Linked DNA regions of Daphnia pulex. The protein of the gene in region 5 purifies or fractionates together with the protein of the main gene of each other region. This does not show direct contact. Links are inferred from orthologs where the notes say so. Each region holds a gene or a part of one and is shown on either strand. Other genes may lie near its edges.

What was found.
Region 1: the proteins of histone acetyltransferase KAT2A-like (region 5) and molybdopterin synthase catalytic subunit-like purify together in Drosophila melanogaster (affinity purification with mass spectrometry; 3 studies listed by BioGRID, with this or other methods). This does not show direct contact. The link is inferred for Daphnia pulex from reciprocal best matches to the Drosophila melanogaster genes Gcn5 and Mocs2B.
Region 2: the proteins of histone acetyltransferase KAT2A-like (region 5) and transcriptional adapter 3-B-like purify together in Drosophila melanogaster (affinity purification with western blotting; 3 studies listed by BioGRID, with this or other methods). This does not show direct contact. The link is inferred for Daphnia pulex from reciprocal best matches to the Drosophila melanogaster genes Gcn5 and Ada3.
Region 3: the proteins of histone acetyltransferase KAT2A-like (region 5) and transcription initiation protein SPT3 homolog purify together in Drosophila melanogaster (affinity purification with western blotting; 3 studies listed by BioGRID, with this or other methods). This does not show direct contact. The link is inferred for Daphnia pulex from reciprocal best matches to the Drosophila melanogaster genes Gcn5 and Spt3.
Region 4: the proteins of histone acetyltransferase KAT2A-like (region 5) and transformation/transcription domain-associated protein-like purify together in Drosophila melanogaster (affinity purification with western blotting; 4 studies listed by BioGRID). This does not show direct contact. The link is inferred for Daphnia pulex from reciprocal best matches to the Drosophila melanogaster genes Gcn5 and Nipped-A.
Region 6: the proteins of histone acetyltransferase KAT2A-like (region 5) and DNA polymerase epsilon subunit 3-like purify together in Drosophila melanogaster (affinity purification with mass spectrometry; 3 studies listed by BioGRID). This does not show direct contact. The link is inferred for Daphnia pulex from reciprocal best matches to the Drosophila melanogaster genes Gcn5 and Chrac-14.

The regions. Positions count from the first base shown.
Region 1 is NC_060026.1:10,881,093-10,886,739, forward strand, and holds molybdopterin synthase catalytic subunit-like, read right to left. Parts: upstream 3,270-5,647; 5' UTR 2,544-3,269; coding exon 2,415-2,543; intron 2,352-2,414; coding exon 2,239-2,351; intron 2,139-2,238; coding exon 1,951-2,138; intron 1,129-1,950; coding exon 1,034-1,128; intron 963-1,033; coding exon 797-962; intron 740-796; coding exon 411-739; 3' UTR 346-410; downstream 1-345. Other genes in the region: pecanex-like protein 1, read right to left, coding at 4,257-4,460, 4,523-4,663, 4,730-5,647. UniProt on the Drosophila melanogaster protein: Catalytic subunit of the molybdopterin synthase complex, a complex that catalyzes the conversion of precursor Z into molybdopterin.
Region 2 is NC_060019.1:11,486,655-11,492,190, forward strand, and holds transcriptional adapter 3-B-like, read right to left. Parts: upstream 3,533-5,536; 5' UTR 3,381-3,532; coding exon 3,200-3,380; intron 3,125-3,199; coding exon 2,988-3,124; intron 2,915-2,987; coding exon 2,783-2,914; intron 2,720-2,782; coding exon 2,576-2,719; intron 2,499-2,575; coding exon 2,284-2,498; intron 2,219-2,283; coding exon 2,094-2,218; intron 2,028-2,093; coding exon 1,897-2,027; intron 1,840-1,896; coding exon 1,681-1,839; intron 1,611-1,680; coding exon 1,467-1,610; 3' UTR 1,377-1,466; downstream 1-1,376. Other genes in the region: protein OPI10 homolog, read left to right, coding at 504-533, 623-752, 845-1,287.
Region 3 is NC_060027.1:749,856-754,839, forward strand, and holds transcription initiation protein SPT3 homolog, read right to left. Parts: upstream 2,563-4,984; 5' UTR 2,399-2,562; coding exon 2,344-2,398; intron 2,279-2,343; coding exon 2,101-2,278; intron 2,033-2,100; coding exon 1,726-2,032; intron 1,664-1,725; coding exon 1,406-1,663; intron 1,367-1,405; exon of another isoform or gene 1,337-1,366; coding exon 1,190-1,336; 3' UTR 1,189-1,189; coding exon of another isoform or gene 1,069-1,188; 3' UTR 1,008-1,068; downstream 1-1,007. Other genes in the region: DALR anticodon-binding domain-containing protein 3-like, read left to right, coding at 1-68, 135-400, 476-642, 712-1,007, 1,069-1,188; HEAT repeat-containing protein 6-like, read left to right, coding at 2,838-3,023, 3,079-3,327, 3,398-3,634, 3,699-3,783, 3,844-4,632, 4,696-4,797, 4,856-4,984. UniProt on the Drosophila melanogaster protein: Component of the transcription regulatory complex SAGA, a multiprotein complex that activates transcription by remodeling chromatin and mediating histone acetylation and deubiquitination. The SAGA complex predominantly acetylates histone H3.
Region 4 is NC_060018.1:6,522,384-6,527,334, forward strand, and holds part of transformation/transcription domain-associated protein-like, read right to left. Parts: coding exon 4,350-4,951; intron 4,269-4,349; coding exon 543-4,268; intron 477-542; coding exon 138-476; intron 70-137; coding exon 1-69. UniProt on the Drosophila melanogaster protein: Part of the Tip60 chromatin-remodeling complex which is involved in DNA repair. Upon induction of DNA double-strand breaks, this complex acetylates phosphorylated H2AV in nucleosomes and exchanges it with unmodified H2AV.
Region 5 is NC_060028.1:7,763,810-7,769,262, forward strand, and holds histone acetyltransferase KAT2A-like, read right to left. Parts: upstream 3,866-5,453; 5' UTR 3,678-3,865; coding exon 3,513-3,677; intron 3,398-3,512; coding exon 3,119-3,397; intron 3,038-3,118; coding exon 2,900-3,037; intron 2,845-2,899; coding exon 2,711-2,844; intron 2,640-2,710; coding exon 2,347-2,639; intron 2,281-2,346; coding exon 2,190-2,280; intron 2,128-2,189; coding exon 1,983-2,127; intron 1,913-1,982; coding exon 1,707-1,912; intron 1,637-1,706; coding exon 1,416-1,636; intron 1,358-1,415; coding exon 1,197-1,357; intron 1,127-1,196; coding exon 905-1,126; intron 845-904; coding exon 754-844; intron 694-753; coding exon 500-693; 3' UTR 410-499; downstream 1-409. Other genes in the region: Golgi pH regulator-like, read left to right, coding at 1-44, 123-338; centromere protein S-like, read left to right, coding at 4,235-4,249, 4,307-4,464, 4,534-4,600, 4,662-4,808; thyroid receptor-interacting protein 6-like, read right to left, coding at 5,160-5,291, 5,356-5,453.
Region 6 is NC_060025.1:6,578,933-6,583,192, forward strand, and holds DNA polymerase epsilon subunit 3-like, read right to left. Parts: upstream 2,388-4,260; 5' UTR 2,240-2,387; intron 2,039-2,239; exon of another isoform or gene 2,016-2,038; 5' UTR 2,005-2,015; coding exon 1,819-2,004; intron 1,748-1,818; coding exon 1,663-1,747; intron 1,605-1,662; coding exon 1,408-1,604; 3' UTR 1,331-1,407; downstream 1-1,330. Other genes in the region: E3 ubiquitin-protein ligase LRSAM1-like, read left to right, coding at 1-139, 202-286, 355-598, 677-985, 1,055-1,174. UniProt on the Drosophila melanogaster protein: Accessory component of the DNA polymerase epsilon complex. Participates in DNA repair and in chromosomal DNA replication. Histone-like protein which promotes nucleosome sliding of ATP-dependent nucleosome remodeling complexes.

The DNA.
Region 1 (5,647 bases), on a different chromosome or scaffold from region 5:
GTATAGATATAGTCATTTATATACCATATTTTGTATCCACATCGAAATATCACCAGCCGGACATGCCAATCCGCCAGGATGAAACGGTCAAAAATCGAAAAAAAAAAAATCAAAAATTCGGCTACCCCCTGAAAGTTTTCCGTTAATATCTCCAAAAATATGTTAGCTAGACGATTGCGACTTTCACAAATGGACGTAGAAATTTATATCAATAATACCCGATCAACTTTATGACAGTATTTCCCCCTAAACCTTTTGCCAGTAGCCAAGAAGTCTACTGCCCCGCCTCTGTCCCTCGGCTCCCAGACTACAATAAGCAATAATAACTAATAACTAATAAGGCAATTACCAATTTGAAGGATGCATTATATTTTATTGATCAGATTACAACCAGAAAAAAGAAAGTGGTACTATACTAATTTTCTACGTAATTCATCCATTTTTTGTTCAATTTTTGATATCAAATCTTCATCTTCTTTATTATTCTGAAGATTAAACGGTCCGTCGAAATATTCAGGACTAATGCTTTCCAAATGAAGGATTCTATCTTCAAGGGCTTTCAAGCGTCCGTACACATCCAGTGGAATAGGTTGTTCTCTTGAATTAAAACCCAAGTGTTTTTCCATATTTTGTAGCCGTTCTTGGATAGCAGGAGTCGGATTCAATTTGGTGTTTACTGAAGATGGAGCCGGAACTTCAGAGTGTGTTTGTGGTCCCCACATATTTACGCATCTCGACACTAAAACGTAAAGAAATCAGTAATCAGCGTTGAATCCTTAAAATAAAATAATTTTACCCTTTAGATGACTTTTACTATCTTTTCTGCTTACAAGCACTGCCTCTGTGCGAGCACATGAATTCTCTAATTCGTTTAATGGTAGTCTGTGACAGAACTCCTGAACGTTGAATACGTCCGACTCTGATCGTTTCCGTTCCATAAACGCAGTAATTCGTTTTCCCAACTGAAAAATTAAAAACATTTAAAATATTTATTGAGAAAAGACTTGATAAAAGTAAAACGGATCAACAATACCTCTAAATTTGAAGCCTTGATCTGAACGCAATCGGCAGCTGCATAGTCCACCATTATTTTCCTCTTTTTAGATAGACTAGCGTCTTCTTCTTGATCTATATCAATTCAAAACATGCTATTGACTATTAAGCATCTATCACATCAAGCAAATATTCCAACAACTCATTCTCATGGAAATAAAAAATTTCAAATCCCGAATTTCCCCACCTAACAAGATTAGAATATTTTCGTACTTATTTTTTTTAATTTTGACTAATAAAAACTTCTGAACGCTTGTGCTTTCTTTAAGCCATACTTCTATAAGCCAAATAATCAAATGACGTACGCGGCAGTGAAGGGAACAAATGCAGAAGTCACAACTAAATACTAAATAAAGGACGTCTATGTGTGGTTGTCCCTATTCCGTCAGATAATTAGCTTAAAGCTTATAGGCAGCAAAGCTGTCGAACCACACGAAAACGTCTAATAGATTGAAGCAGTGCGTAGAATGCAGCATTGCAGCTACTCATCTTTAGAATCACACAGTATATGTTATTATATAATGAAAGGGCAAAGATTGGAAAGCGTTGGGAACTGGAAAGTACTTGGATAATAAGTAAAATGAATGTTAACATTGCTTAGTTAAAAAATAAAAAGAGAATTAAAAACCCTTAAAAACCTTATATTTTAAATGTCAGACTTGACAGCACTACGTAGATATTATCACTTTAGTAAGATTGAAACTACAGCCAAACTAACGTTCATGCTCCGATTTTTAACTAATGAAAAGTACTGGAAACCATTTCAAATATTGTTCTGATATCGGAAAATCGATTAAGGTTCAATATTTGTGTTACTTGTTAAGAATCAGTACTGTTATGAATTCAAAATTCATACAACAAATAGGAACAACTAAGCATTATTTGTTTAATTTTTACTTGTCCACAGGCATTCTTTGTTGGCTTTCCATTCAGGAGCACCATCACTATAAAGTTCTTTCTTCCAAATTGGTACAGACTTCTTAAGCGCGTCAATCCCAAATTGAACAGCCTCTAAAGATTCGGCTCGATGCTCGGATGAAACAGCTATTACAACACTTGCTTCACCAACCGGAACTTCTCCCAATCTGGAAAGAAAAATAGGTAATTAAAACAAACAAACAAACAAAAAAATGTTTCTTAAGTTTCCTCATTATAACTACAGTATGGTAAAAAAAAAAATTATACCTATGGTGGAATGCAATGTGTTTAACCTTCCATTTTTCTCTAATATTCTCACAAATTTTCTTGATTTCTTTACATGCCATTGGCTTGAAAGCTTCATACTCTAGACTAATCACCTTAAATATAAAGCAAATTTGATTTAGAAATATTTGACTTTAGATTATTCAAATTGACATTACTTTCTTTCCTTCAAAATTATTCCTTGTTGTTCCCACAAATAATGACACAGCTCCAGTAGAATGTTCAACCACTTTAGAGTAGATTGAATTCACATCAAGCTGTTCTTCAACTAAGTTAATAATATCCATTTTAAAATACAATTGAAGGGCTCTGGCGAATTAAGCTGTAGCACACTGCTTATGAAGAATCCTAGCGACCTAGCCACCACTTAATGGTGGGATCACTGCAATTTCCTTGCAATTTTTAATGTCTATAAGCTGATCAAATTCAACATATTCTTCATCAGCAGCTAGGACAATGTTCTTTGATATGGATTCTAGAGCTGGAAATTGTTCTGTAATGATGCACAAAAGATTTGCCCCAGTGATTCTTGAAGTTGTTCTGGAAAGTGAAATATTGTCAAAATCTTTTCCAACTAACTCTCTGGCCTTTGCAAAGAACAGAATCCGAATAACTACTTCATCCATTGATCAAGGTCAAGACTACAGCATCCCTGACTATAATTTTAACCAGATTTGTTGACATGTAACAATCAATAAAAAAATATATGTTAATTAGTTGTCACCGCAAAAGTAAATTTAACTTTGAGTAGTAATCTTGATTAGCAATACGCTCTTCTTATGCGTTGACTATGTGTCTGTAAAACTGTGACAGAGGCTCGGCAATCAGAAAAGCGTCTGGTCACTGGTCGTCTGCTGGCACTGGCAAGTGGGAAGTGGCAATGACATAAAGAGACTAAAGCGTATTTTTTAAAAATTCAAAAATTGTAATATGCGCGGAGTTTTTCTTGCGCGCAAAATATATACATTAATTTTATGCCCCCTTATCTGCAAGAAGCCAACAACGATGCAAATATTCTATGCAACTTTATGTGTATTGTGTATAGATGTTATACCCTTGAAAAAGTAGTGGTCTAGCAAAAAATCGTGCGCAGTTTACGCCGATGCGCACCACAGCGGCAGATAGCAGAACTAAACTTTTTATTACGCTTGACTACCTGTCTACTTCAAGAAACGAGACGAGAACCGACTGCTTGTCGAACAAAGGACTTGAAGTAGACAGGTAGTCAAGCGTAAAAAAAAGTTTAGTTCTGCTATCTGCCGCTGTGGTGCGCATCGGCGTAAACTGCGCACGATTTTTTTCTAGACTACTACTTTTTCAAGGGTATAACATCTATATCGTATCAGAGCGATCGTATTCGTTCACCGATTCTTTCATAATCAACAATTTCATAATATTCAAATTTCAAACTATGTGCATACCGGCATACTATTGTCAGGGGTATGGAGAGATTTATGGAGATATCTTTCTCTCCATACCCCTGCTATTGTTATTTAAAAATCCGACAAGTTTTTCTATCAGACACCAAATAAAATGACAGGCGCATTCTTATGCTACTGGAGTCACTCCTCTATGCGACTGTTAAGTGTTTACTTTCTCACCATCACTCCTTGTGTCACTACTAACACGGGAATTTTCGTGATTTTAATAATTAACAGTAACTATGAGGCGGGTGCGGTAGTTGAATAAGGAAAAATCTAAATATATAGTTCCTAGACTACAAACAATCCAAAAGTTTATTTGTTTCGAATTACTCAATTTCAAATTTCATTCGACATTTGAAAAACTCGGTAAACGTTATTGACAATGTTTTCAAATCACAGTGGTTTTTCCTAGTCAATGTCAAATAACACATAGCATTTCCGCATAACACAAACATTATTTACAAAACAAGGTTCGTGAACAAATTTCGGGGTTCACATTCAAACCAAAATACCGTTTCATATTACAACGATGAGCCTAATGGACTCGAAAAAAAAACACTGCGGCGTTTGGGAATTTCAATCAGCAACTCCCTGGGTTTTAAGCTTAGTATCATTAACGACGATAGAATCCCCGATGTTGACACTAACCAATGATGCAATTTCGACCGCCGATTCGGCGATTGGGACGTATTTATCGTCTATTTTCAAGAGAAGGATGACGCGATCCACGTGCGATCTTTGTCGCGAATCTGGATGATTAGGCACCCAACGATGTACCACCTAATCAAACACAAAGTACAGTAAAAGGAAAACTATTCACCCATCGCGTATAGTTTTCTTACCTGTCCTTCCATACCCACTTCGGGAAGCCATGATTTCCAATAAGATTTTCCACCTTGGTTACGAATTGTTGGACTTGGCCAGAGAACATCAATTCGTCGGCCCAGATTAATGGTATCGTAGACTTGATTGGGATCGACAATCTGAGTAGAGAAAAAATAAGTAAATTAATTTACAAATATACAATTTAGAAGAGCTTTAAAAAGTACCTTGACTCGTTGGTCGACAGAAATCCTGTTGTCCATAAACGGCTCCGTTTCGTACAGAGGTCGGTCAGTGTCGACAGTTTCAAGTCTGTCGAAACGGTCGCGTCTAGAACGATCTCGTCTGCGACTCCTTTCTCTTGCACCACGTCTTTCTTCTTCGCCACCTCTACCGGAAGAATTTCTCTGTCGAGCTGTAGCGCTACTACTAGATTCTGGTGCTGTACGACGTAAACGAACATCACGTTCCTGAGACTCGGAACCACGACTGGGACGTCTTTCACGGACGGATGGAGCACTTCCATTTAACGTCCCACTTCCCATGGGCGTCGAAGTGGTCGTCGCGGCGGCGGCAGCGGCTGTGACTGAATCCCTTTCGGCCAGCATTCCTGCTAGGCTTATGAGAGTGGAGCCGGACGGTTTTCTCAATGTCCCGCTCATCGTCGAGGCAATGCTACCTCTTTGGGTGCCCAATGAACTACGTGGACTCGATCCTCTTGCCGTGTTGAACGCAAACGAATTCATTCCGGCATTAGAAGCATTTAACGCGGCGTAGGTTCCTAAGCCCATTGGTCCGAGTGCGCTGCTAGTTGATCCCGTGAAGCTACATGTGAATGCCGGATACCCTCTTCCAACAGATGCCGTTGCAGTATTACCATTCAAGCTTCCTGTTGCTGTCGTGGTTGGCACCAAATTGGAGCGAAGATTTTCCAAGCTAATTTCTACATCGGCACACTGCACCCCTCCAGAACCTCCTACTCCTCCTCCTGATCCGCCACTGGAACAGCCTTCTCCACAACGTGTTCTCAATCTTCGGAAAAAGACAAGAGCGGCCTTTCGAATGGCCTGTAAGCTCAATGGACCACCTAAGGTGCTTCGGATTTGTGGATGCGTTTCGGCGAATGAAGTCATCAGCGGGGAAAC
Region 2 (5,536 bases), on a different chromosome or scaffold from region 5:
ATGGGATCGTAAGTAACAGTAAAAAATTCAAAATTAAATTGTTGAAAATAAAAAAATTCGTAATTAATGATCAACCATCGAATAGACGAATGAGTTATGCGGATCTTATTTTTCATTCCGATGAAATCAGGAACTAAATGCTTCAATTTGCGTTTCTATTCGCGTCACTAACGTCGTACTTATAAATTTTCAGATTAGCAGTGACTTATTTTATATAGTATTTATTCATAGCTAACACAAACTTACTGATTTATTTATGTAACACGCACATTAAACACATTAAAACGATTTTAGCGCGGCAAGTTTTTTTTATTTCAAACACCTATTTGCATCTCTTGTACATAGATGTCACTAGACATGTCTGTGAGACGACGAATTTTCGAAAACATCTAGAATTTGGAATGAAGGATAAATCGTTGTATTCGCGTTTCTGAAACATACAGAATTGCATTCAATTTTCAATTGTTACTTCGACTGATCAGAATTTGTGGTTTTCTTGAGAAATGTTTGGTCTTATTGTATCGGGGCGTTTGGTAAGTTTCAGTGTTTGTGTTCGCGTGTAAATACGTTTCCACAACTACAGTAGGTGTCTTGATTTGCTATTGTCAATACATTTTTACAGGTCCAGACCAACTTTCAACAAATTACAGACTCACAATTTGTTATTACTATTCCTGATGCCGATAATATCAACCATTTGGTAGTATTTTTGACTGGCGCATCACCATTCCCAGAGGGATTTGGTGGATCAGGTTGGTTAGAGTACAATTCTATGTTAAAGGAAAAATTTTTGCATACTCCGGAAGATAGATTTTAAAATACCACAAAATAATTTTTTTAATAGTGTACTTCAGGTGGCCCGAGCCAGATCTATCAGCCCCACCAGTGTGGCAACTACTAGGTAACCTCACCAATAACAAACCGTCAAGCATTTACAAAATCACTGGCTTGAAGAAGAATCCGGGAAGTTATAGCCCTAGTATGTTTGGGGTGCACCAGGGGGAAATACATCATCATGCTCAAATAGGGATTTCAATTGAGCCTCTTAGCCTCATTTCCAATCAATCTCCTAGTGCCATTACAGAGCCTAGTAGCACCACAACATTCCAGGAGTTTGCTGAACGTACTCTTCAAAATCTTTTCAATTATGCAGCAAGTTTTGCTGTTACTCAATCACAAATGACACCAAATCCATCAGAAAGTTTCATCCCAATGTCTGTTTTAAGAAACTGGTACACTAACTTTATTAGAAAACTAGAATTGAATCCTCAGTTTTGGAGAAGTTGAAAGAATTCTTATTAAATTCTTATCAACTTCAAGTAACCTCAACTTTTCATTGTTGAATACATGCTAATTGATTTAAGTAATAAACAAGGCTTGTTAAAAGTTTATATTGTTATGCAAAGTTCAATTAACCATCTTAGTTCATCTTCATCACACACGTCTTGTATTGTTTGAAAAAATATTTACATACTAGTCGTTCCCGTGTCCAGCTGTTTGACAATCGCTTCACGATCACGAAGTATTTTCCACATCTGATCTTTTTCTTTTTTGCTTAACGGGCGTTTTTTTTGTTTAGCGGCAGCCATTTTACGATATACGTCTAATACCTATTCAAAAGAAGTTGGGAATAATGTAGACGAGCTCGATAAGCAGAGATGACACTTGAAAAATGAATACCTCAGCGTCCGCTGCAATCAATTTTTTCCGTATTTCCTGACGTTTCATTTCTTCTTGACTGAGGCGGTACAGTCGTTTCAGTTGTTTCAAGTTGTGCAGTGATATGGCCCTCAATTCTCCTTGGCATCGACGTAACTCCGTCAATATTTCATCATCGGCCTTAATCAGGGGGTTAATAATACTACCTCTGAAATGTGTTTTGAATGAATAAATTACCGAATTAACGTTGGCTTCTTCGGAAGTTAAAATGCCTTGTTCTTCTAACTCTTGACGAATACGACGTTCAAGTGCAGCAGCTTGAGGTCCATTCATTGCTGCCTTCGTGCCAGTAGATTTCGCGTTTTCGTCTGTTACAGTAATTTCGAACCGCTAGTTGGCATTAGTTTTAAACAGGAAAACAATGAACAATATACCTTGCCCTTCTGATTCCATTGTGTCCTGCACAGAAGTTACAATATTTTCTTCTAAAAGAGCTGAAATGAGACGCTGGGTCATGGGTCCGCACATCCCCGTCGCAGATGTAGTATTTGTTTCAGCACTGAGTTATTAAATCTATCGTTAAGCAATATGCGGCTATTAGAAAAAAAAATATTAATTTTTTACTTGTTTTTAGCTGCTGTGTCCATTAATCTTTGAGCCTCTTCCGTTCCTACAGAAGATCCAGAGGTAATCTTCTTTTTCTCGCCGAAACGAGAGCCCTCTCTTTGCTCCTGAAGTAAATCATCTTCTGCCCACCGAAGTGTATAGTGGCGACCGAGAGGAGGAATTTTGAGGTATTCTTCATCCTCATTATGAGTTGAGATTAGTTCTTCTACTAGCTTTAGTTAAAACATCAATTACCACAAGAAAAAAAATTTAATTCCAAGTTATGTTAATCTTATACAAATCATTTTACCTTTAAATCATCATCTGTAAAAAGAGCACAGTATGGTTCTACAGAAGCCCAAAATTTGTTTGGTGTATCATTTTTGGCAGTTGATGTCTTCATTAATTCTAAAGGAGGCATTTCCTCAACAACTCCTTCTGGTGGGATAGGCTTCTATAAAATCAAAGAGATCATTACTTGACTGTAAATAAAACTACTTTTCATGAAACTAGGTACAGCTAGAGCAGATTTAATTTTCATCTGCTTTAAAAGTGGAGGTGTGTGTGCATCTCTAAGCTTTCCTGGTTGATCTTTGAACTTTTTAGGTGAACGCTCTTCTTGTTTTGATCGTTTTCCAGGAGATGGAGGCTAAAAAAAAACACATAGTGTTGTTGGCAAACAGAAAATAGACACAAGATGAAAAAAAAACTTTGATGAATACCTTTTCAGTCATTCCTGCAATTTCTCTCTGTAAATTTAAGGAACGCAAAACAACACAATTGAGTAGTGTTTCTAGTTCCATTTGTAAGGTGTCCAAATCATCCATCATAACACCCCCTTCTTCTGATCTAGCCGTAACTATAAACAATTGATTATATTTATATCTTTGTTAATTAGAAAACCAACAGAAAAACAAAAAAAATTAGTTCTTACTGGATGTGAAACGAGGTAAAACCTTTCCATAGTCGACAGCTCGGACATCAGCTAGAGTAACTTCTTCATCTGAGTCCTCAGGTTCTGAAACTCTTTCCCTTTTGACTTTAGTGGCTGACGTTGAACCTTTGACATTTGTAGCTCCTTTTCCTTTGGAGATATTACCTTTACCCGGAACCATTTTTCGGCCCAAATTTTAAATTTGACAAGACAATTCACGTACGAATGTACGATTTACGTTGTTTACTTGTCAAAAAAGCTTGGACTAGAATCGATACCTAACTTTCAAACTTTCGATTCGATATTTCGATTTACAACGTAAGAGAGAAAATGAGACTGGGTATTCGTCAAACGATAGCAGCGCCTCCTTGAATGGTTTAATGAAAACTTTGGATAACTTAAACCGTTTAAGTCGAAAGAGAAAAGACAATCAAAGTCTAATATATTTTTTTAAATTACTTGTTAAAAATATTTGAACGCAGTTTTCGAAATAATAAAATCAGGGAAATTGCAACTCAAAGTTTTAGACTTGATTTTCAAATTTTTCAAATTTTCATGTATTTCTTTAATGAATGCAGAATGCTTAATATAAATTTGTATGATATTTTATCGATTTCATTTAACTACAAATTCCATAGGCCAATGTATTTATTTAATTTAGTTGGTGTTTCACTATATTATTATGTGGCCGTTATGTCTGAAACAGCGCTAGTTTCAGGGCTGTAAAATTCCCTCGTCTGCGGGTCTCCAGTCTTCTTTTCTCTGGTGTTTTCAGTTTATTCCAATATGGCTACCGAGTGAAAAGGCAACGAGTTTTTGTGACACTAACATTATCTACGTTTCATGACAGTTTATTGTCTGTTTGAAATTAAAGTTTGAATCTGCGGCCTATCAGAGAGGAATTCCAGACCGAACTTCGTGAAGTGCAATTTATTTTTTCTACAAATAGCTGTGGAAACCTTGTTTTTCTTCATATTGTGATATGTGTGGGCTACACCATCTGTGTCACTTGCTTTGAAGAACCCAAAGGGGGGTCGAGTGCGTGTGGGGACATCCTTCGTTTTCAATAATTATTGAAGAATCCTGAGTTTCCTTGAAACAGCCATTTTTCAGTGACATTTTAGACACAATTTTCCAGTTCGCTCCTACTGCTTTGTGTGTACTGCAGCTATCCGTTCATTTCAAGGTAAGGAGACCGCTGTGTTGCACAATCATAAAAGTTCTGGATGGTGAAACATGACACCTTCATAATCAAAGCATGTTCTCAAAATTCCTCTCTTCGTTTCATAATTAGCACAGGTTTTTTTATACCATCCTGCCTAGTAAACCTTGAGTAATCTTGTGTGACATGCAGCAGTCTGACCCTAATTTATCCAAACAGTAGCATTCGTATGAGAGGCAGATATCAGGTGGTAAAATTTGATAGTGAGTTCATTTGGAAGTGAATTGTTTCTTTTTGCGACGATTGCAAATGGGTGGGGGGTTGCACAGCTGTACATGCGTTGGCGGGGTTGAAATAGGGCATGGGGGAATCTGTAGCTCAGGTATTGATCACGTCAGGAGGGAGGAAAAAGAGGAAGGGAAGGAGGAGTGGGGGTTGAATCCGACGACGGCACTTGGACTTGTGCGCAGCGTCCAAACACACATACTTTCTTGATCCATTCCCATCCCTGATCTCCGTCGCCTTTCTCTTCCACCCGATGAATCCATCTCTTCCAGATTCGAGGAGGAGTCACACGATAGGGCTCTAAAGAAACTGTTCCTCCTATGAAAACAGACATTGTCCCGTGTTTTTCTCCCCTCTCTGTGTTGATGGTTGTTATTATTGTTGTGCTTCGGCCTCTCGTAGACGCCACACAAACGAGAGCATCTCCAGTCGTTCTTACAGTCCGAGGTTCTCGGATTGGCGCTTGGGGTGCAGTGGGGGAAAGGAATCGATCGCATTCAAAATCTACTGGAATCCCTTGGCTGTGTCATTCAGTTAGGCAGGCGGGAGGTCACGCCAGCAGAGCTGGTCTCCAGGACGACCGCTCCCTTCTCTTTCTCTCTGGTAGGCATATCTTCACCCCCCTATTTCAACTGCTTCCTTTTACATGCATCATCGTTAGTTGACTGAGCCCGCATCATGAAGCTAAAAGAGAGCTCTGAAATCCAAGTCAACACGGAAACCCAAGATCATTTCATACCAGGCCCCTCTAGCCCTTTTTGGGCACGTGGACTCTCTTTGTTGTTACCGGCAAGTCCTTGCATCACAGGCCGTCGTTTGGGTTACGATCCGGCGACACTTGGGGCACCGGGACTCGATGCGTACCTCGCGTGTATTGCCTTAATCTGATC
Region 3 (4,984 bases), on a different chromosome or scaffold from region 5:
AATCAACGAAAAACAATGTTGATTTCAAAGCAGTATTCAAAGAAACCCTCAACTCTATGACTCTGATTGTAAATAGGTTTATTTTTTGCTGAAAATGAAATATAAGTGAATACCTATTTAATTTCTTTTTGCAGCCTTTGATGATCAGTGGAGGTCGGTCTAACGTGACTACGAGATGCAACAGCAATATCACCCTTACTGATATGAGAGCACAATATGCAAGCAGAGTTCTGAGCAATATCTTTGCCTACAAAGATCAGAATACTGAAATCATTCTTACAAGTATTAAAAACTCTGATAACAAGTCCTTGAGTTCAACCATCACTTGTGTTGTGGGACCAGTTATCAACCCTTCTACCAAAAAAAAGGATGTGACGACATCATTTGAAGAATATATGAGGTAAAAAACTGTAATTTCAATTTACTCTAAAATGCCTTAATATACTAACTATGTAGGTGTTTTTTGTGTTTGAAGGCTACGACAGTTGCATGTTAAATCCAGGCATCCAACGGAAGGTAAAAGTATGTCTGAAGCATGGATCACAGAGGCTGTTATCAGTTATGATTTCTTGCACAATGACACCACAAAACCAATGCATGCGGTAGGACTAGCTGGACTAGAAATTGATCCTCAATTCAGAGGTATTCAGTTTACCAAAATCATGGTTCCTTTTTAATAACTAATTATTGAATTTTTCATTTCTATTTTAGAAGCAATAAAGGTTTTGTACAACAGAAGTAGGGTTGCCTGTATACTTCAAAAATTTTCTGATGGAGTGGATTGCTCACTTTACCCTCCACTGCCAAGTTTGGATACGACCAATTTTAAGTTGCTGAAGCATAAAGCAGAAATTGAAATCACCTCCAAATATATTGCTGGATTTGTTCCTATGCTGAACAAATTTTCACTCACTCGCATCGCAAAGATAACTTCAGAGTTATGGCGATTTTTGCTATTTTTATCGCAGGATTATTCCCATTACTACAGTTCAGTTCGCACCCTATGTGTGAGTATTCTTTATTCAGGTTTCTTGCATACAATTTTACATTAAAGTTTCCTATTTTTAGGATGAACACAACCGATCGCATCCAACAATGCACGCACGAATTTGGATGTTGAAAGTGATATTAACAATTTACGACGCAGCTTTCGCCATATTGAATTTGAAGCCCTTGCAGTACGTTTAAATTACAGTGCCAGAAGTCGATGTCCAGGAGGAGGAACACCATTTCTTCGGAATGGAGAAAAAATTGAGTTGTGTGTATTGTTGAACCGTCTGATGGCCTCAGAGACTTCCGCTGTTTGAAGAGGTTTCATCGAATTTGACCATGTCGGCTAAAAATACGGAAATTTTGTTTTAAAGAATGATTATAATTATTGTAACATTCATTTTAATCCTTTTACCTTGAACAAATCAGCATTCGCTGGAGATACTCTTGGTGCAGTGTTACGTTGAACTGCGTCACTCACTTGCCCAGCCATATTGTCTCTTCGTACTATGAAGGCCAGATCTACTATTTGTGCGATGGTTTCGTAAGCAAAGTAACTGAGAATAGACCAAGCTGTCGCACTTAAAGCAACCTCAGGAGCTGGAGAATCTTTAAGTAACCAATCTTGAAATTTACCAGAAGGCTGGCCTCTCTTAAATGAGGTAGATTTGGCCTGACAAAAACAATTCTGTTAAATCTAGATTTTGAAAAAGCAGTTAGGTTGAATCAAAATACTTGAGAATATTCAATGTACTGCCCCTTCTCCATGGCTAATGTCATTCTCTCAATCCTTTCATTTCGTTCCTTGAGGGCATCATCAGGTAACAGGAAAGGTTTAGATGGATCTGCCACATTACACAGATAACATGATGGATCAAGGTGTTGTAGGAATGCAAGAGCAGAATTCAGTTTTTTATTTCCAGTGTGAAGATCAGAAAATTCAGTCATTATGTCTTTAGGCAAATCATCTTCTTTTGCCAAATCCTTAAACCCACTGGCTTGTAAATAGGTGCAAAATCTTCTCAGTTTAACTGGACTGTGCCTAATTTAACAGAAATCACTTCAATATATTGAATAACTTGAGATATTGTTAAACTGAAGGTTACCTACCTAAGTAAGACTAGAAATTCTTTGATACCAATTTTCTTTGAGTTAATTTTAACAGCAACCTCAGACAGTGCATTCAGGAACTGAATTAGTTGTTCCTTCACAATTTTCTCTACTAATTCAGCAGTTTCTTTCAGCGAATATTTGCTGTCGCCAAATCCATACATCATTTTTTGGATTTCTAAACATGTCGAATTAAATGTAGTTAGGAAATGTTGACATTGTTGGTCGTTAATATGAACTTACCCAAGATGTACCATCCATCGGTGGAAGAATTAGTGGATACATCAGCAGCTGGCATTTTTAGGAGATTGAGAATTTTGCTAATTTTTACAAAATATCAGTTGTGTTGGTATAATTCGTGTACCAAATAGTAATATCAACCGGTGTTTTCTAAAACTCCATTTGTTATTGTTTGAAGTCTGAACTGAACCCTAAAAGAAGGTATTGTGTGGTAGTCTGCTAGCCTAGCTAGACATATTTGAATTTGCCTCAATGCCAAAGCTAATTTTGAAACTATTTCAATTTTTTTCCCAAAATTTAGTAAGGAAAAAAAAATCTTTATTTTTTATGAACTTTTGAATGAACCACGCTTTCATTAATCTTAAACATTTTTCAATTAAGAAAAAAAAAAACCAAGCGGATGCCTTCGGTACTTCGTCGACACATAGCAGACGAAAATGTCGAAAAAATCAAGGACCTTCAATTTGTAAACAAAGTGTGACAATCGAGATAGAGTCATGGCTCTTTCTCAACTTAAATCATTAGACACAAATTATCTGACAGGGGTTCGAGAAAAGCTCAACCTATTGTTAGATAAGAAAAATGCAAATCCGGAAGAAATAACAAATTTCTTGGATAATCTGAACACCCTTTTCTTCGATCTTAAAAGGAAAGAATTGGAATCGTCGTCAGTCAATGTTCAAGTAAGATTCCATAAAAGTTATATTCATTTCACTGTTTAAAATCTTATGTTTATAGGATTCTGTAATTTTAGTATCAGATGTTTTAAAAATTGTGAAACATGAAGAATCTTTTAAAGTTGCCAAGACTTGTCAAATATGGGAACAAGTTTTACAACTTCCAAATGTACACTTAACAAGTCAAGCATCAGAGCAATTAATTGATTGGATTATAAAATCCCTTAAGAATGAAAATCATTTAATATTTACTGACATTTTCAATTGTCTTGCTGTGGCAGTCAACTTCAAAGAAGTTAAACAAACTAAAGTAGGTCTGAAACTGGGAATGAATGAAAAATTTTGAACAATAATGTTTCCCATTGAAATTACTAAATTAGGCTTTGGAGAAAGTGCTTAGTCCTTCTGGATTCTTGATCAATAAATTGAATGAAGAACAACAAATCAATAATCAAACAGTTCTCATTCTGAAAATTCTCTGCAATTTTACCAACTGTTCGGGAGAAAAGGATTGGTCTACAATATCAAAGGATGTAATTAACACATGTATCATCCAGTTCATAAAATTCCAAGAGCAACACCTAAATTCCGATCCAAACAATCTTAACCTTCTCAAGGTAAAACAGTGTTTCTTATAATGTCATGAAGAAATTTCTTAACCACATTCATTTATTTTACTAGGTTCTTAGTCTTTGTTTCTATGGATTAGAGAATACATTTGTTAGATTTACTGCTTCAACAGTGGCTCATTTGGAAAGTATCTTTAGTAAGGCTGCACATTTCGGAGACCTGCTTATTTGGATATGATATATATTCTTTATCTAAGGTCTAGCACGATACTACATGCTTTTTGGAATCGCTGGTCAGCCACTAAAGTACGCTCCAATTCGTCCATCATCCCTTCCATTTGTGGAACTTTCTTCCAAGTCAGATCAGACGAAGAATCCGAAGGTGAGAAAGAAACGTCCTCCCAGCAAAGTTCAATCCAAGAATCGAGATAGCAACATCGAGGAAGTTGACATTGAAGTCCATTTCCAAACGAAAAATAAACCGTGGACAAAGAACAACATTCCTGTCAGCAGCTCAGACTCGGAACTATCTGATTCTGATGTGCAGTCTCATCAAAGACTGAAAGAAGCCCAGGCAAAAGTCCGCTCCAACGCTTTGAAAATGTTGTCGGCTGCCTTTAAATTTTGTGAACAACGATCCGTAATGGGTTACTGGTCTTCATTTTTGCCTGATTCGTCTCAAGGACAAGTTTACCGCCACTCACTCGTCACCCCGATATTGAAGGATTCTTCAATCAAAGTGCGGTGCAGCGCTGTGGTTGCTCTGTCTTCGCTTTTACAAGCGATCCAGCCGACCCTAGCCATGGCAGCGTATCAAGAGAATAGAACAGGGGCTTTTATTCCCTTGAGCCAAACACTTGCAGAAACTGTCATTGCAGTACAGCGTTCACTGATTCTCTCCGTGAGTGCCGAACAATCAGCCAGTGCTCTTATCCAGATTTTCAAATGCCTTGCAGTCGCAGCTACTGTATTTCCTTACGAAAAGCTGCCAATAGAATTGGTTTCTAAAACTGTTCAGCAATGCACCCCTTTCTTAGAAAACAAAGGTATACATTTTTTTACTTCCGACTATATAACCTTAATCAATAATAATTTTTTTAATTAATCAGATCCAGATGTTAAAGTAGCTTGCTTGTCAGTTCTTCGGATATTACTTTGCGCCCGTTCTACGAATTCGAGCATCGTTCAAATGTTTCATGATGAAAAAACAGGTAAGAAATTATTTTCTGTCGGCAATATCTCACTCCGTCAATAATCAATCATCCATAGGAAAGTGTTGGCTGCTGGAACATTGTTTAGCATTGATTGATGGCCAATCAGGATTCCCATTAACGTTGGAGAGTCTATTAGTGATTGGTGAAGTAGCTCGGTCCAATATCCGTGTGGCGCAGCCTTACT
Region 4 (4,951 bases), on a different chromosome or scaffold from region 5:
TGAGTTGGTTGGCTCAGTTGGAAACACTGACATAAGACGAGAAAGAAGTCCATGAAGGCATCGAATAACCTAAAGAAACAAAATATCCCAAAATATTAGAAAATTGTTACAAGACATATTGGGTAAGATTTAATTACTTTGGGATTCGTGCAATTCATGAGTGAAGAAAGCCCGCGTTGAAGTGGTTTGAAGCCTGCCAGGATTTGTTCCTTCCGCAAAATACTTAACAGGAATGTTAGTAAATCGAGAGCTGTACAAATATTGGTGAAATTTGGAGCAGAAGCGGCTGCTGCTGCCGATGCGGCCGCAGTAGCGGCTGCGGGAGAATCGGCAGTCTGAAACAGTCGATCGAACCAAGCTAGTTTCAGTTCACAATTTGGCCAAACATCGGGTTTTAAAGCCATCTTCAGAAGAGCCACACATCGTTTAGATAACTGCTCGCCCGAACTGTTGGCGGTCGAGGTTGCATCGTTCACCTGATAAGAGATTGAAAAAACATTTTAGCACGTATACTAACTCAAAAACATACACACAAAGCATACCTGACACGCCAGTCTTAATAAAAAGTTTGCTATGGCATCACAGTGAGTTTTCTCAATCGGTTTACTGACTTCCAGCATTTTCCCTGAAGAAGAAGATGAGGCAAGTCGTGGCTTCTTTGCTTCTGGAAGTCCGTCATTTCCTGATCGTTTTACGGATCCAGATGGCATGGTCTCATCGCAGGACTCACCTCCTGAATCAGCTTCATCCTTCATACGCTGAAGCTCCCACTTGAGGACAACTTCGGCCAATTCGACGGCTAACTTCTTGTGCTCTAGCGTGGCCGTTGGAGTAAATCCCAGGCGCTGAATCGAGGTTATCATGTACTGCACCAGATGATGTCGAACTGGATAATACACTTTGTAATGACGCACCAGCAACTGGAGAATGTGCACCAGTTGAGCAATTGTGTGACCCTCTTCAACAATGATTTTCTTCGTCCAGTGGGTAAGCATGGTGTTTCCGTCCTCCATGCGAAGAGGCATAGCTGGCGTTAGAATCTCCAGTGCTTGTCGGACAACATTGCGAGCTTCAACAGCGTGGGCCTTCAACAAACTGTGGAAAACTTGCAGCACAATTCGTTTGTGAATGGCGAACTTTGCAATGATGTGACTCAACAGCAAATGGCCATGGTAACGGGTGGTTGGATCAACACAGTTCTTGCTCAACAGACACGGCCATGCAAAAGTCATAAGGCGACGTAGTTTGTTTCCCTGGCGTTTATTGGCGGCGTCGTGAATATGTTGCGAAGCTTGTTCAACCAACAAACAGCTCAGCTGAAGCAACAGGATTCGAACAGCGTCCGAAGTTCCAAAAGGATTGTCTGGATCAATCACTTTATTGATGAAAACACTGACAACGCTTTCACTGTTATCTTGGTCGGGGGTCGGTGGCGTACCAATGAGAATTTCTCCTTCTCCTCGCTCGAAACTGACGGCAAATCCTGGAATTATGATGTGTTGGAGAATTTTGGCTTTAAGTTCTTGTCCCAAGTTGGGATTTCGGAAAAGCTCGACAAACTTGAAAAAAGACGCTCGCTTCCAGTCAGCTCCATATGATTGGCCGACTGTTTTTTCCAAAAATTCTTTCAAAAAGTAGAAATCGGGAATCGTGCGATCGCACAACGCGCGCATCAAATGGAAGAGTAATTCAACTTCTTCAGGGTGCTGCTGAAAGTAATACAGTAAAATTTTGGCCAGTTGACGTTGCTCCTTTCGCTCAGCGATCGAAAGGCTCGTAGTTTTCTTTTCCTCGTAGCGACCCGAACACCAAGCTTTAGTCAGCACGGTTATTAAATCGGGCTGTTCAGATATCCACTGGTCGTCCTTGCAGATCATGATGCGCAAGATTCGAACCGTCACTTGCAGTGCATGAGGTTTGGGTGTTGTAGACTCCGAAGGCAGACCGCCAAGCACAAAATTAACCAATCGATTTGTGTTGGCCTTAATAGCGTCACGAAACGGTTTGCCTTCACTGTGGCGAACAAAATGTTCAAGGAACCGATTCCAATCAGCATCGGCAATGATATCTTCCCGTAAAAGTAAATCAATTGTTTCGGTAGGATATCGCAGAAGAAACTTGATTAAGGGCTCTCGGAAAGGACTGCCCGGTTCTAATCCTAAGGCACGTTCTGTTTGCAGCACTAATTTGCACAGGATTTCCAGGAATCTTGCCGAAGCAGCTGGAATCTGATGAAAAAGTCCAATGATGCCAATTGCAACCTTCACTTCATTGCTGCACAAGCTGCTGCTGCTGAAAGGTCCGTGGCTAGTCTGGGTAGCAACTGGACGATTTCCTCCGGTTTTAAACGCCACGATCACTACTTCGAGCCACTTGCGTAAATGCTGAAGAAGTTGTTCACAAAGCTTTTCGTTGAATACGTGGGGGAAAAGTTGAGTCGTGTGAGACAAGCGCAATATGACATTGGTAGACAAACTGCGATAATCGCCCAGCAAGAGTAACAACGGACGAACGGCGGTATGTACAGTCTCCATTTCGATCTGAGTGCCCACCAGTATCTTCTTCATACAGGAGAATGCCGTTTCTTGAAGTTCAGCATTGTTACAACTCAAAGCTTTGAAGATAACATTCAAGATCTTGTCTCGGCACTGAGTGATGTAGTGGCAAGCGGCTAACGCTTGCAAAGCGGATTTTCTCAATGGGGTCAAGTTGCTCACGGACTTGTAGCAAGGTAATTTCAGAAGAACAGTGTCGTCCACCTCGCACAGCGATAGTAGTTCGTGGAAGAAAACCTTATGCTCGACAATATTAAGATCAATGGTGAACAGTCGGGGTTTCAGCGTCGTGCAGAAGGTGTTACCGTCCATTAACCCAATTTGGGCGTTGACTGGCTGGTGTCTCAGTAAATGCTTTTTAGGCGGAATCATGTCAGCCAACACTTCCTTGTGTGGTTCCATGATGGCCGTTGGTGTTTGGTTTGTTATCCGTGCCAAAACCTGCAATAGGTGCATGGCTTGCTCACGTACAGTTGAATTTGGACTGGTCACTTGTCGTACGAGTTCATGGGTCACGTCATGCAGACTTTTCTTTTGCGCAGACAAAATTTCCGGAGAAGGAGACGATTCTGGCAGCGGAGTAGCGCATAAAAGAAGCATTTTCTCCAAATTGGCTTTGGCCATGTCAATAGCGCCGCTCGACACTTCTCCAGTGAGATCCATCATGACGAACAAGAGGGCCTTTAGGAATACATACTGATGTTCGAGAACCCACTTGAATGCCATTCGTTCAAACAGGAACTTGATGGCAATGCAACCGCCCAATTTTGCATACCAAGCTCTGTCGTAGCAAAGGCTGCACATTCGTTCTGCCAGATATTCCATTAGAGGAAGTTTACAAGCTCTCTCTTGGGAACCGAGCACAATAGATGCAGTGTCAAGCATCAACACTAGCGCCAAGTGTCCAGGTTTGCAAAGTTCTTTTTCTTCGTGGCCCATAATCGTAGCCAATGCATCAACCAACACGAGTGGATCCATGCCTAAAATCCGTTGGGCAGAGCGACCAGGAACAAGCATAGGAAACGGCCCCGCCTGCTGGACGACGGCAACAAGAGTGTAGTGTCGGACTAGAGATACCATAGTGGGCAGAACTGCTTGCCTCAACTCCTTTATGGCTGCTGCGACGAACATGGCAGTAACCGCCGTTTGATGTACATGTCTTGCTTGCTTGTCACTGCACTGGAACGAAGGACTTTGCACAGGATGAATATCTCCTTCCAAGAACGAATGATGAGATAATAAACGCTGCATTGTGAGACGATCGTCATCCAGGTGAAGTGAAGATAGCAGAAAGCAACGAACTACTTCCCAGCATTGCGTTCGGTAAAATGGCTCGGTACTACTTGATTTCAAAGCAGAAAACGCTGTCTCCATAATCTTCTCGACGGGCAGGGAAACGGGCTGTTTCAATTCTTGGAAGTGGATAACGATGCAAGGACCAGACTCTTTGTCCCAATAGTCTAGTCGTTGCGGTTCAACCATCATTTTACGATTACCACCTCCAAACTTACCAAGGACTCTAAAGGCAACGTGTGCGATCTGGTCGTTTGGATTCCTCAAAGTACGCCATAATGCTTGCATCAACTCAGCTCTTACTGGCTGAATATGCTCGTAAAGAAAATCTGGTTGAAGATTGTCGACACAGAGTTCTAAGGTTCTTAAACCTTGGCTCACCAAAGTCTGTGAACCATTCAGCGAAGACACAAGAGGATCCTATAAAAAAATTGGAAACAATAAATAACAAATTTAGAAAAGAAAGAATAATAATAAAAAAAAAACTCATAATTTTATTACCATAAGCATCGGGAGGTAAGGAAGGAGTGAAGATAACCGCACGGGAACAGTCAGGCAAAGTTCCACGAAGAGATCCTTCATATGCTGCTTGTGAAGTCCACTTTGAAGACTGTTTAGACTTTGAAGAAGATTCGGAAGCAATGGCAAAAATTCTTGATAAAGGAGGTCATGACTACCTCCGCCGATGGATCGAAAAAGTGCCCGCAGCAGGAGGAAATAGTTGTAGGGCTCTTTAGCACTCAAAGCTAATTCCATAGATTTGTTGACAATGTGCGGTAGATGTGGCTTTAACATTTGTTCATTCTCCGCAGCAAACAAAGAAACGCTACCAAACACAAGTTTGAACAACTTCAAATAAAGATTAGAACGCTCCATGTTCAATCCCATTTCTTCCATGTGATTCAGCAAATATTCGACGAGGATGGTGGCGAAAACAGCGGAGGTGGAAGGGTTTGCAAGAAATGAATTTGCAACTACCTGCAAAGCGCTATTGCGGTAAATGCGCTCTACCACGTAGTCAATTGTTGTGGCAAATACTTCCTTGAAAGTCTGCGGATTCATCATGGCGAAAACACCAGCAAAATGTTCCAATACTTCTTTTT
Region 5 (5,453 bases):
GCAAGTCATCCAACGTCATTGTTTTACTTCTCGCCCAAATTATGGTAACTATATTACTTTATATGTTAGTTTTTCTGTAATTGAAATGATCAAAGTTTTCTTGCTTTTTGTCAATTTTTAAGGGAATGTATTTCGTATCATCTGTTTTACTAATGCGCATGAACATGCCTGCCGAGTATCGTACCATCATCACTCAAGTGCTTGGAGATCTGCAGTTTTCTTTCTATCATCGATGGTTTGACGTTATCTTTCTTGTCAGTGCTCTGTCATCTATTGCTTTTCTTTATCTCGCTCACAAACAAGCTCCCTCAGCAGACAGTAAACTGAATAACTATTAATTCAATTCTTGAAATGAAAACTAAGCCAAACAGGTGATGCAATGAAAATTTTTCTCAGCTTGTTTCTCATATTGCTTGATATTTATTTTATTTGTCGTCGATTGAGTGCATGTAATATAAATACTTGTGTCAACATTTAACTTCTTATTCGAACGTCAGCTTCATTTATCCCAAAGCCCAGCATCTTTCATTTTCGCTATATAGTATTTTTCGAGTGCGTTGGCGCACTTGCAATATTCCGTGTCAGCCTCATTATAGTGGCGACAATTGGAAAACATGCGTGAAATGTCCGCCATGAAGAGCTTCCGATGGATGTAGTAACGATTTTTTAATCGATCCCCCATGGTCTTCAAATCTACAATGAAACTAAATTAACATCGGAACGTTAATCAATTGAACACAATTGTAAACTTACCCATCGGAAATTTGATGTGGTCGTAATAATCTGGTACTTCCGCTCGATCAACAGGTTTCAAGAAGGGCCAGGAAGAGGCATGACTTCTCACCTATATAGAAAAATGGAATAACATGTTTTCTTCTTTTCATAAAAATTAAAGCAACCAAACCTGATTGAGAACCGAACGTAAAGCTTGATATAATTGCTCTGCATCAAAAGTCTCTTCGATTAGACGCTTAGATCCGTAGCCATTGGATGGTCGCCAGCCCGTCAATTTCAGTCCGGGAATACTGTCAATAGGAATCTCTCGAACACCATCTTTAAAGCAATTGAGACCTGGATGAACTTGGCTAATTTCTTGCTGCTTCATTTCAATTAGATGTTTGACAATCTAAAAATTAAAAAAAAAAAAAACAATTAAGAAAGGAACAATAATGTTGGATATTAAATCTGGGTAAGACCTCTTTCTGCTTTCGAATGATTGCGGTAAACTCTGTGTAAATAATACGGGGATTTAACTCGCATCCCATTAGAGTTGCTCCTTCGTAGTCCTTGATGTAACCGTTATAAACGGACTTTGGAAGCTTTATTTCTTTACTAAACCCTTGTTTCTTGAAATAACCTGCACATCACACTGCATTAGGAAAATTATTTGAAAATAAAAAATTTTGTTTGCTCACCAATGGCGTATTCGTCGGCAAAGGTAAGAAAGTGAAGTACATTGTGTTTGATATGGTAATCCTTAATGTGATTCATCAAGTGAGTTCCGTACCCTTTAACCTGCTCTGAGGAGGTAACGGCACAGAATACGATCTCGGTGAAACCTTGGATGGGGAACATTCGAAAACAGATACCACCGATTGGTCGACCATCTTTGATCAACGCCAAAGTCCGATGCTTGCTACACGTAAATTGGATAACATTTGTAACTTTGGTGATTTAAAGTATAAGAGACAAAATTTAGGACTCACCAATCGAAAACCAACCGTGTGATGTATTCTTTCGGCATTCGTGGTAATTGATGCGAAAAAACATTTTGTAACCCAACCAACCATGACATGGTTTGTTTGGATACGGTCTGAGTAAGAGAATTTCCCACTACGTGAAAGGATATCAAACCACGACGTTCTTCCTGTTTTGCCGCTTCGTCTCTTGGTGCATTTTCTGGGAAGACGCTCTGGAAAACCAAAATAAAGCTCTGTTTAGAAGAGCTTAATTCTTTACACGTAAGAAATTTGTTGGCTTACTTCGGGACCAAGCATCTTTTTGGGGTCATTAATTACGGCAAGAATTGTGGCGACAGTTTCTTCAGATATGTCATGATCCAAACGTACCCTTTTCGCATCACCTTCCACACTAGGTTCGCTGTCAACTTGCCGCTTTAACAAGTTCCTAATTAAAATTGAAAATTATTTCCATGTAGACATAGGGTGGACATGAAGTTTCGACATTACTTTTCTACATCTTTGGAAATTGATCTGACAATCCCGCTGTTTGTCAAACGATGGAAGGTTGCTTCGTTGCTGGACTGGGTTACATTTTCCTCTAATATCAAGAATTATCAAGAATTAGATTAAACATTAATAAGTTGGAAAGCAATGAAATAAATACCTTTGATGTTCTCCTGTTGATTTGGGAGTCGATGAACATACGACGGATCCCACACAGGCGATGCATCATTTCCTAGTTCCATTTCCATGTCTGCCAAGAACTTCGGAAAATTATTTATGATCATATCCCGTCGTTCGGGTGGCAGTCGGTCTTTCTCGGCTAAGAAACGATCCATGAGCTGTCGCTGCACGGTGGAATAGACCAGTCGAAGAAAGGACCGACCAAAAATAGCACTAGTTTCATATTGCGGTAGGGAGTCGCAATAGCTCGGAACATTGCAATAGCATAACCACCTGCCAGAGTGTAATATTTTTAAGTTAAAAATAAAATTTCAAAAGCTAATTTAAACTGAAAATAGGTTTACCTCGTGTAACTAATTCGATACACGGAGAGGTCAGCTTGTGGATAATGTTGTTTCCACTGAGTAGGGGTTTCCAATTTCCAGTGATTTAAACAGTGGATAAACATTTTGGCAAGATCACACATTTTTTGAAACTCCTATGAACACAATAAATTTAATTTAATGTTTTAAAGGATAACTTTGATTTCTTACCTTGGGGATTTGTTGACTGTATTTGAACATGACAAAATTAGTAACACCCTTGCTAATACTTAGTTTTTCAAAGGGTGGAGAGCCTAAAGGCCCTTCTACAACTGGTTTTGTCATCTGCATTATACATTTCCTCAAGAGCTATATTCCAAAAAAATAAGAAAATTTAAGAAAACATTTTTATAATACTTGTTTCACTAAAATGATTTCAAATGTTATTACTTTAAAAAGGCAAAAGTAGACTTGTTTGTTGTCTGGATCTTCTTCCTTGTTAACACAGACAAATAAATTTTCTATGTCCACTACCAGACTTAAAAGTTGGTTTAGTTCTTCATTACTGGAATTTATCAAGTGAGATACATGATCTGAAAGGTTATGTGAACAACTGCGGCATGGATCAGTTAAATTTGCTGATGGAAGAACCACATTTATTCCTGTATTGTTGACATTTGGTGGTGTAGTAGGATTTTTCCATCCATTGCATTTGCAATTTTCATCAAACTGAAAAAATAATTATGGAGAAATGTCTCAGTTAAGTGGTTCTTCATTATAAAAATAAAAATAATCTTAAGAAATAAAGCATGTTCATTATAGAACATTGAAAATGAAAACCCACCTTGCAACTTGAATAAACAGCTAGCTTTTCCAATTTCTTAGGATGTGGCCATTCACGAACCTGCTGCTTCCGCAGTTGAATTTTTTGAATGTTGTTCATACGATTCGTACCAACGCCAGCAGCTGAGTTGTTATTTGCCGCAACTGGGTTAGAAGTGTCAGTCATATTGGAAATGTTTTTATTCTTGAAATTCACGGGAAACCAAAATCTGATATCCTTTCTTGTAGTTGTACATCACTTTTAGTGAACGTCATAAATATACTAACTGAACTCAGAAGTACGCAATTAGGGGAATTACGGGGATTTCTAGCAGAAATCCAGGCGCGTCGCGAAAATTTTTGTTTACCCCCGGTGGCGCAAGATTGCCACATTTACCTTTATCCTTATGTTTTTGGGAACGGAAAAACGAAACATAAAAATTAATTTTATGAAGAAAAGATTTTTTAAAATTTAAACTTGACATAAGACAGCAAGTGAGAAACTAAAAAACTGTCGAAAAAAACAAGTGAAGAAAATCGCCTTTTAAAATACGATTTGAAAAAATCCGACACTGATGTTTGACTCCAACTTCACTTAACAACAAGTCAACAACATAAGAAATTATGAATTTACGTCTGAAGATTTAAAAAATTTACCCTGTTTACGAAATCTGTTTCTTGAAGGACTAAACTTCAGGTGTACTTTCCTGTGTAATTGTATGGGGGAATAACCTGGATGTAAATATGGATCACGAAGAAGTAAGCAAATCTATTAGCAGACCATGAATCGCACATAATTTTCGTTTTTACTTACAGCGGCTGAAAGCGTCATTGCATTTTACCGTGGGTAAAATGTGTGAAGAACAGGAAGCTAGAACTCACATTAGTTTTGACAAGCATGTGATAGCAACAATAAATGAAATTGTCTGGCAAAAGATCAAGCTGGTTACACAAGATTTGGAAGCTTTTGCCAAGTATTAATTTTCTTGATCGCTTATGTTAAAATAAGATGTATGCATTGTTATTTACATTTGTTTATTGAGGCATGGAAAGCGCACAACAATCAATGGAGATGATGTGAAGCTGCTGGTTCGAAGGAATGAAGATTTAGTAAGTATTCAAGTAAAAACATTGTGAGAAGCCAATTGAGTCCATTGAAAAATTATTACAGAAAGCCATAGTAGAAACACTAGGATCAACCAACTCAGAGGATAATGCAAAAATAGACAAGGGGAAAGCATTGGTGAAGAAGAAGAAAATCGAGACTGTTCCACCAGAAGTGACTCTGGACACAGATGATGATGACATGTTCACATGACTATGATCTAAGCTGTATTGTTCTACATCAGGGAAGACAGTCGTTTTGTGCGTTTGGGAGGATTATGTGGTATGCGGAACATCAAAAATAATTAAAATAAACGACGCTTCTAAATCGCCGCAAATAGAAACACCGAATACATATTAAGAGGCGTAGAAATTCCAACCGATTATTATTTTTTTTATGGCTACCAAATAAATGGTCGAATGTCGTTTAATTGTGTCCTGTCGTCAGGCACTCGTCATTTAATACAGAGTTACATAGCGGAAATATATTTTTTTAAAAGTCACCGACACATTTTCCTTGTTTAGTTTCCCTTCCATTTGTCTTCTAAAACGTGAAATATTTTCTTTAAAGCTCGGTCGAAGTGGTGGAAGTCAACGCATTGACTCTTATGGCATTGCAGGATTTACACAGGACACGCCCATCCAACGGGTAACAACCGCGCCCTTCAGCTTCCGACGATAGAACTAAATCGCAGTCCTAATATCCCAAAAAACCATGTTAGGATGTTGACAATTAGAAAAGTAAATATATGCCAAGTTACCTCGCATTTGTAACATTGTACGTGAAAGCTCCGATCCAGAGCGACAACACGAACAGTTTCTTCCTGTCCAGGCTCTGGCATGATGGGATCGTGACAAA
Region 6 (4,260 bases), on a different chromosome or scaffold from region 5:
TATGTATTAAAAAATATCCAGGCCCACAGAGATCAGATACAACTTCAGGATCTAGTAAAAGCAGAAGAAAATCAATGTCATTGCCTACTGGCCCTCAAGTTAGAAGAATTCAAGAATCTTAGAAAAGAAGATATTTTGAGTAAATCATTATCACAAGTTGAAATGTTATAACTTGTAAAAATCCGGTCACTTCTTGAACAGATGCTATGAAAACCCAGCTTGAACAAGACATATCCAGTCAGAAAACAATGTTGAATAAAACCCTATTCAATGTGGTGCAAATGGAGTAAGCCTAAGCATTATTATCGAACACAATTTTGTTGGTATTAAAAGATTTTTATGGTTAATTTTTAGGGATGAAGTAAAAAATCGTCAGATTGACCAAATTTTGCAGCATCGGCAAAAAGACCAAGCTGCTCTAGTCATGTCGTTATTAGAAGAAGAATCTTGGCAGTACCAAGCGTTTTCGTCATTGTTATCCCAGCGTGATCGGCGGACCACCCAGCTTAGCGAAGATATTCGAGCCGTAGTAGATAAACTTAATCAGCTTACCGCTTGGGAATTACAGCGCAAAAGCAGGCAAATCGATATTACTAACGTGAGTGCAAAGTCTGAAATACGTATGACTTTAATTTGGTCATTTATTAATTCCTTTTTTTTTTCTTATCGATCCTAGAACTTGCTCTCGGAAAATCGTATACAACTGGCTGACTTGCTTTCCCAGTTAATAGAGCAACAGCAGCTGCGTCGTAAAGATCTAAAACACCTCTTGGAAGAAATGGAAGTCCAGCGACAGAACCAAGCGGCCGACTATTGGCTTGTCCAGTATCAGCGTCTAATCGATAACATGCCTGATAATATTCAACATGCACAACAGTATCTTCCAAGTGCGCCTTCCTCTGTACTCGATGATGAGGAGGTGGCATCCGCTCCTCCGATGGAAGTTTTTATGGAAACTAATTGCGTCATATGCTTGGACAGTTCAGTAAGCTTACATTTATTACAGTTCAATTTTTCAAAACGAATTCATTCTAATTGCATTTATATTAAACAGTGCCAAGTTATATTCCTTTCTTGTGGACACTTATGTTGTTGTTCTGGATGTGGCAACAAGCTAAATCAATGCCCAATGTGCCGGGCAACCATCGTTAAACGACTGCAGGTTCACTCATAATGTTATTTATTTGCTTTTTAGCTTTTCATCGGTCATATCTTTGTGCCTTTGGCATCCTAAAAAAAATGTTTTCTTCATTTTTATCTTGTCTGTTGCTACTGTCGTTTCGAGACGTAAATCACACTTTAATTTTCACAGTATACAAACTATTTGAGGTCGTGTTTTTTTTTCTTTTATTAATTTTTTTGTCGTGCGAATACAAATTTTATCACACATTTTTTTGTCATTTAAGATCATTCATCCACTTCTTCATCCTCATTCTCCTTTTCATTTTCATTATCATTTTCATTGTCATTTTCATTATCATTTCCATTATCATTTTCTCCACCTTCATCTGATCCTTCTTCAATATCTTCCGGTTTTTTGTCGGATTTTTCCTGTTTCCGTTTAGCCATAGCTTCTTTGCGTTCCTTCTGTGCTTTCTTGTACACTGTAAAAGAAAAGAACATGTTGACATTCTAAAAATTGTTTTGAAAAAGAGAAATTACCTTCAAGAGAAGCCTGTAGTGGTTCAATAAATCTTTCAAATTCCATGTCAGCCATTGCTCCCAGGACATCCGGGCCACTGATGATCTTTATTTAACAAAAAAATTTTAGTAAATAATTGAGAGAATGGAACAAAATTTTCTGATTCTGTGATTCACCTTTCTGTTAGCTTTCATAGCCAGATTGTTAGAGCATGATGTGCAATAGAGAACAAATACAGAAGCAGCTTTAGCAATGGCGGTTCTAGCCTCTTTAGACACATTAACACCTTCTGGCAAGGATTCTTTTATGATTCTTGCTACTATTGAGTTGGGAAGGTTTAAGTCTTCAGGTCGTTCTGCCATTGCTTACGTACCTGGGAAAATCAAAACAAAATTCCTGTCATCAGCTAGATACATTAGTTGAACAAAACATATATTTCATCATATGAATTCTATTCAAATCAATAAAGAGAGAAAATGTCACTTATTATTTCAAATAATAACACCATTTAGTCATTTCCAAGAGATTTCTAGAAACTTTTTAAAAAATTAACTACACTTGTTACAAGATTTTCATAGGAAAAAGAAAACATCCTACCTGTCAAAACTTCTCCTACAATAATTTATTTCCGATTATACCGAAACCAACACTCCGACACTTGAAAACTTCAGATTTTTGCTGAAACAAATACACAGTCACAGTTGATGATTTCGATGTTGCTTCTGCTACAATAAAGGGCGGGAAAATAAGAAGTGCCAAGACCACATCGCCATCTGTGAGTAATATTCTAACCGTTTGCACAAATAAGTTTTTCGCCCCCGTTAGACCAGCAGTCGCGAGTCGCATAATAAAGAGGCGTATGATAAAGATAAATAATAATTTTTTTTATGTAGCACGAAGAAGATAAGCAGATCTTAATATATGAACAGACAAGATATAGGTTAAATATCAAACTAGTGAAATATCAATTTTATTACACCAATATTTAGTATTTACAGTACATTGTTGCTTCAGCAGCTTAGATTGGTTATTCTAACTTGAACCGATTTTGTTTTACTAGTATTATTTATTGTATCTTGAACAACACTTGGATGTTAAAACAAATCGACATGAAAATTTTAACAATCGTGATCACTTCTGTTCTTATTAGATTCAATAACGATTTTGACGGAATGGATGGAGATCACCAAATATGACGTACGCAAAAGACGGCAAAAGATCGTTAGACTTGTCGTTAGATAGTGTCAAGAGCGGCATGTGTAATAGGATAACAAACTTTCCTCCTTTTCGCCAAGCCACTCTACATCTCCGAGTCAAAGGGACCCAAACTTCCTTTAGCAGCCAAAAGTTAGATTTCCATCGATGCTAATCTTACAAGGGAATGACTGTTGTGTGTACCTGAAAACTTTTGAATGGATAATCGCTTGCTATACACCCGTATATAGCCTATAGGGAATAATAGATTGCCAAACGCCGAAATTACGAGAAGTTAGATTATTGATTTGCGACTCTAACTTTCACTTATAAAATTCGTTTCTCGGAAACCTCCTACCATCCCCAGTCGCCTACAAATCAGGTCATGGAATTCAAGACAAGTTTGATCCAAAGATATATTTTCAAATCCTACACAAAGTGTGAGAGTCGGGAATCAGAGAAAAGGCAGGATATGCCCCGGGATACTACTCATCCACTCCGACTCCAGGCAACGGATACAAAACTGATATACGCTGTGTCGCTGTCTACCATTGGCCCCTTCAGACCTACATCCGCCCACATCGGAAACTGTAAATCAGACGTGGATGGAAAAACAAAAAGTTGAAGAAATAAGTCTGACGCTCTTTTGAATGAGACGGATAAATGAACAAGTTTTGCTTACTCCCAAGTTTCTCTATAAATAAATAACAACAATTTAAGAAACAAATCTCTACTAAAATAATGGTTCATCTTTTTTTTTAAATAGACTAGGTAATCAAACTGTCTTTAATCATCGTTAATTTCATATATAATTTTTCCGATCTCAAAATTTTTCAAAGACATCAATCGCATCATTTTTTATCCTGTATATTTTTATCCGCGTGGGCGTACACCAGCAATCATCCCATCAGGATTTAACACGGGAGTTTTGTTTTTTGTTTTTTAATTTCTCATCCTTGACACGCGTGACAGACTTTCTTGTCAAAAAGTTTGACATGCGCTTTCCCGTTAACACATTTTGTTAGAGATCGGCCGTGTGAACTGTCTGTGAGCACTTGGCGACGAATAAGATAATCAATTGCTTCGCGCCTTGTTAGTTTATTTCCCCCGCATGTTTTTCGCTTTCATGTTTTATTTTCGAAAAGTGGAATGGATGGGATCCGGATCCCGCAGGAATTAGCAATAAGAGCGGGTGATTACGTCTGCAATACAAACCAAGCGAAAAGTCGAAATTGGTCGAAATTGGTTGTGTGCTGTATACGCGTATATATATTTAGCCATGCCTTGTTTGTAGACGCTAGACGGGATCTATAACGACGCGGAGTTATCGGGAGTTATGATTTCGATCTGCTTACTTATTATGTAAGTATCTCTTTCAGCTGCTGCTGCTGCGCGGTCCTCGAAAGGTATATGGAGCTCTTGCT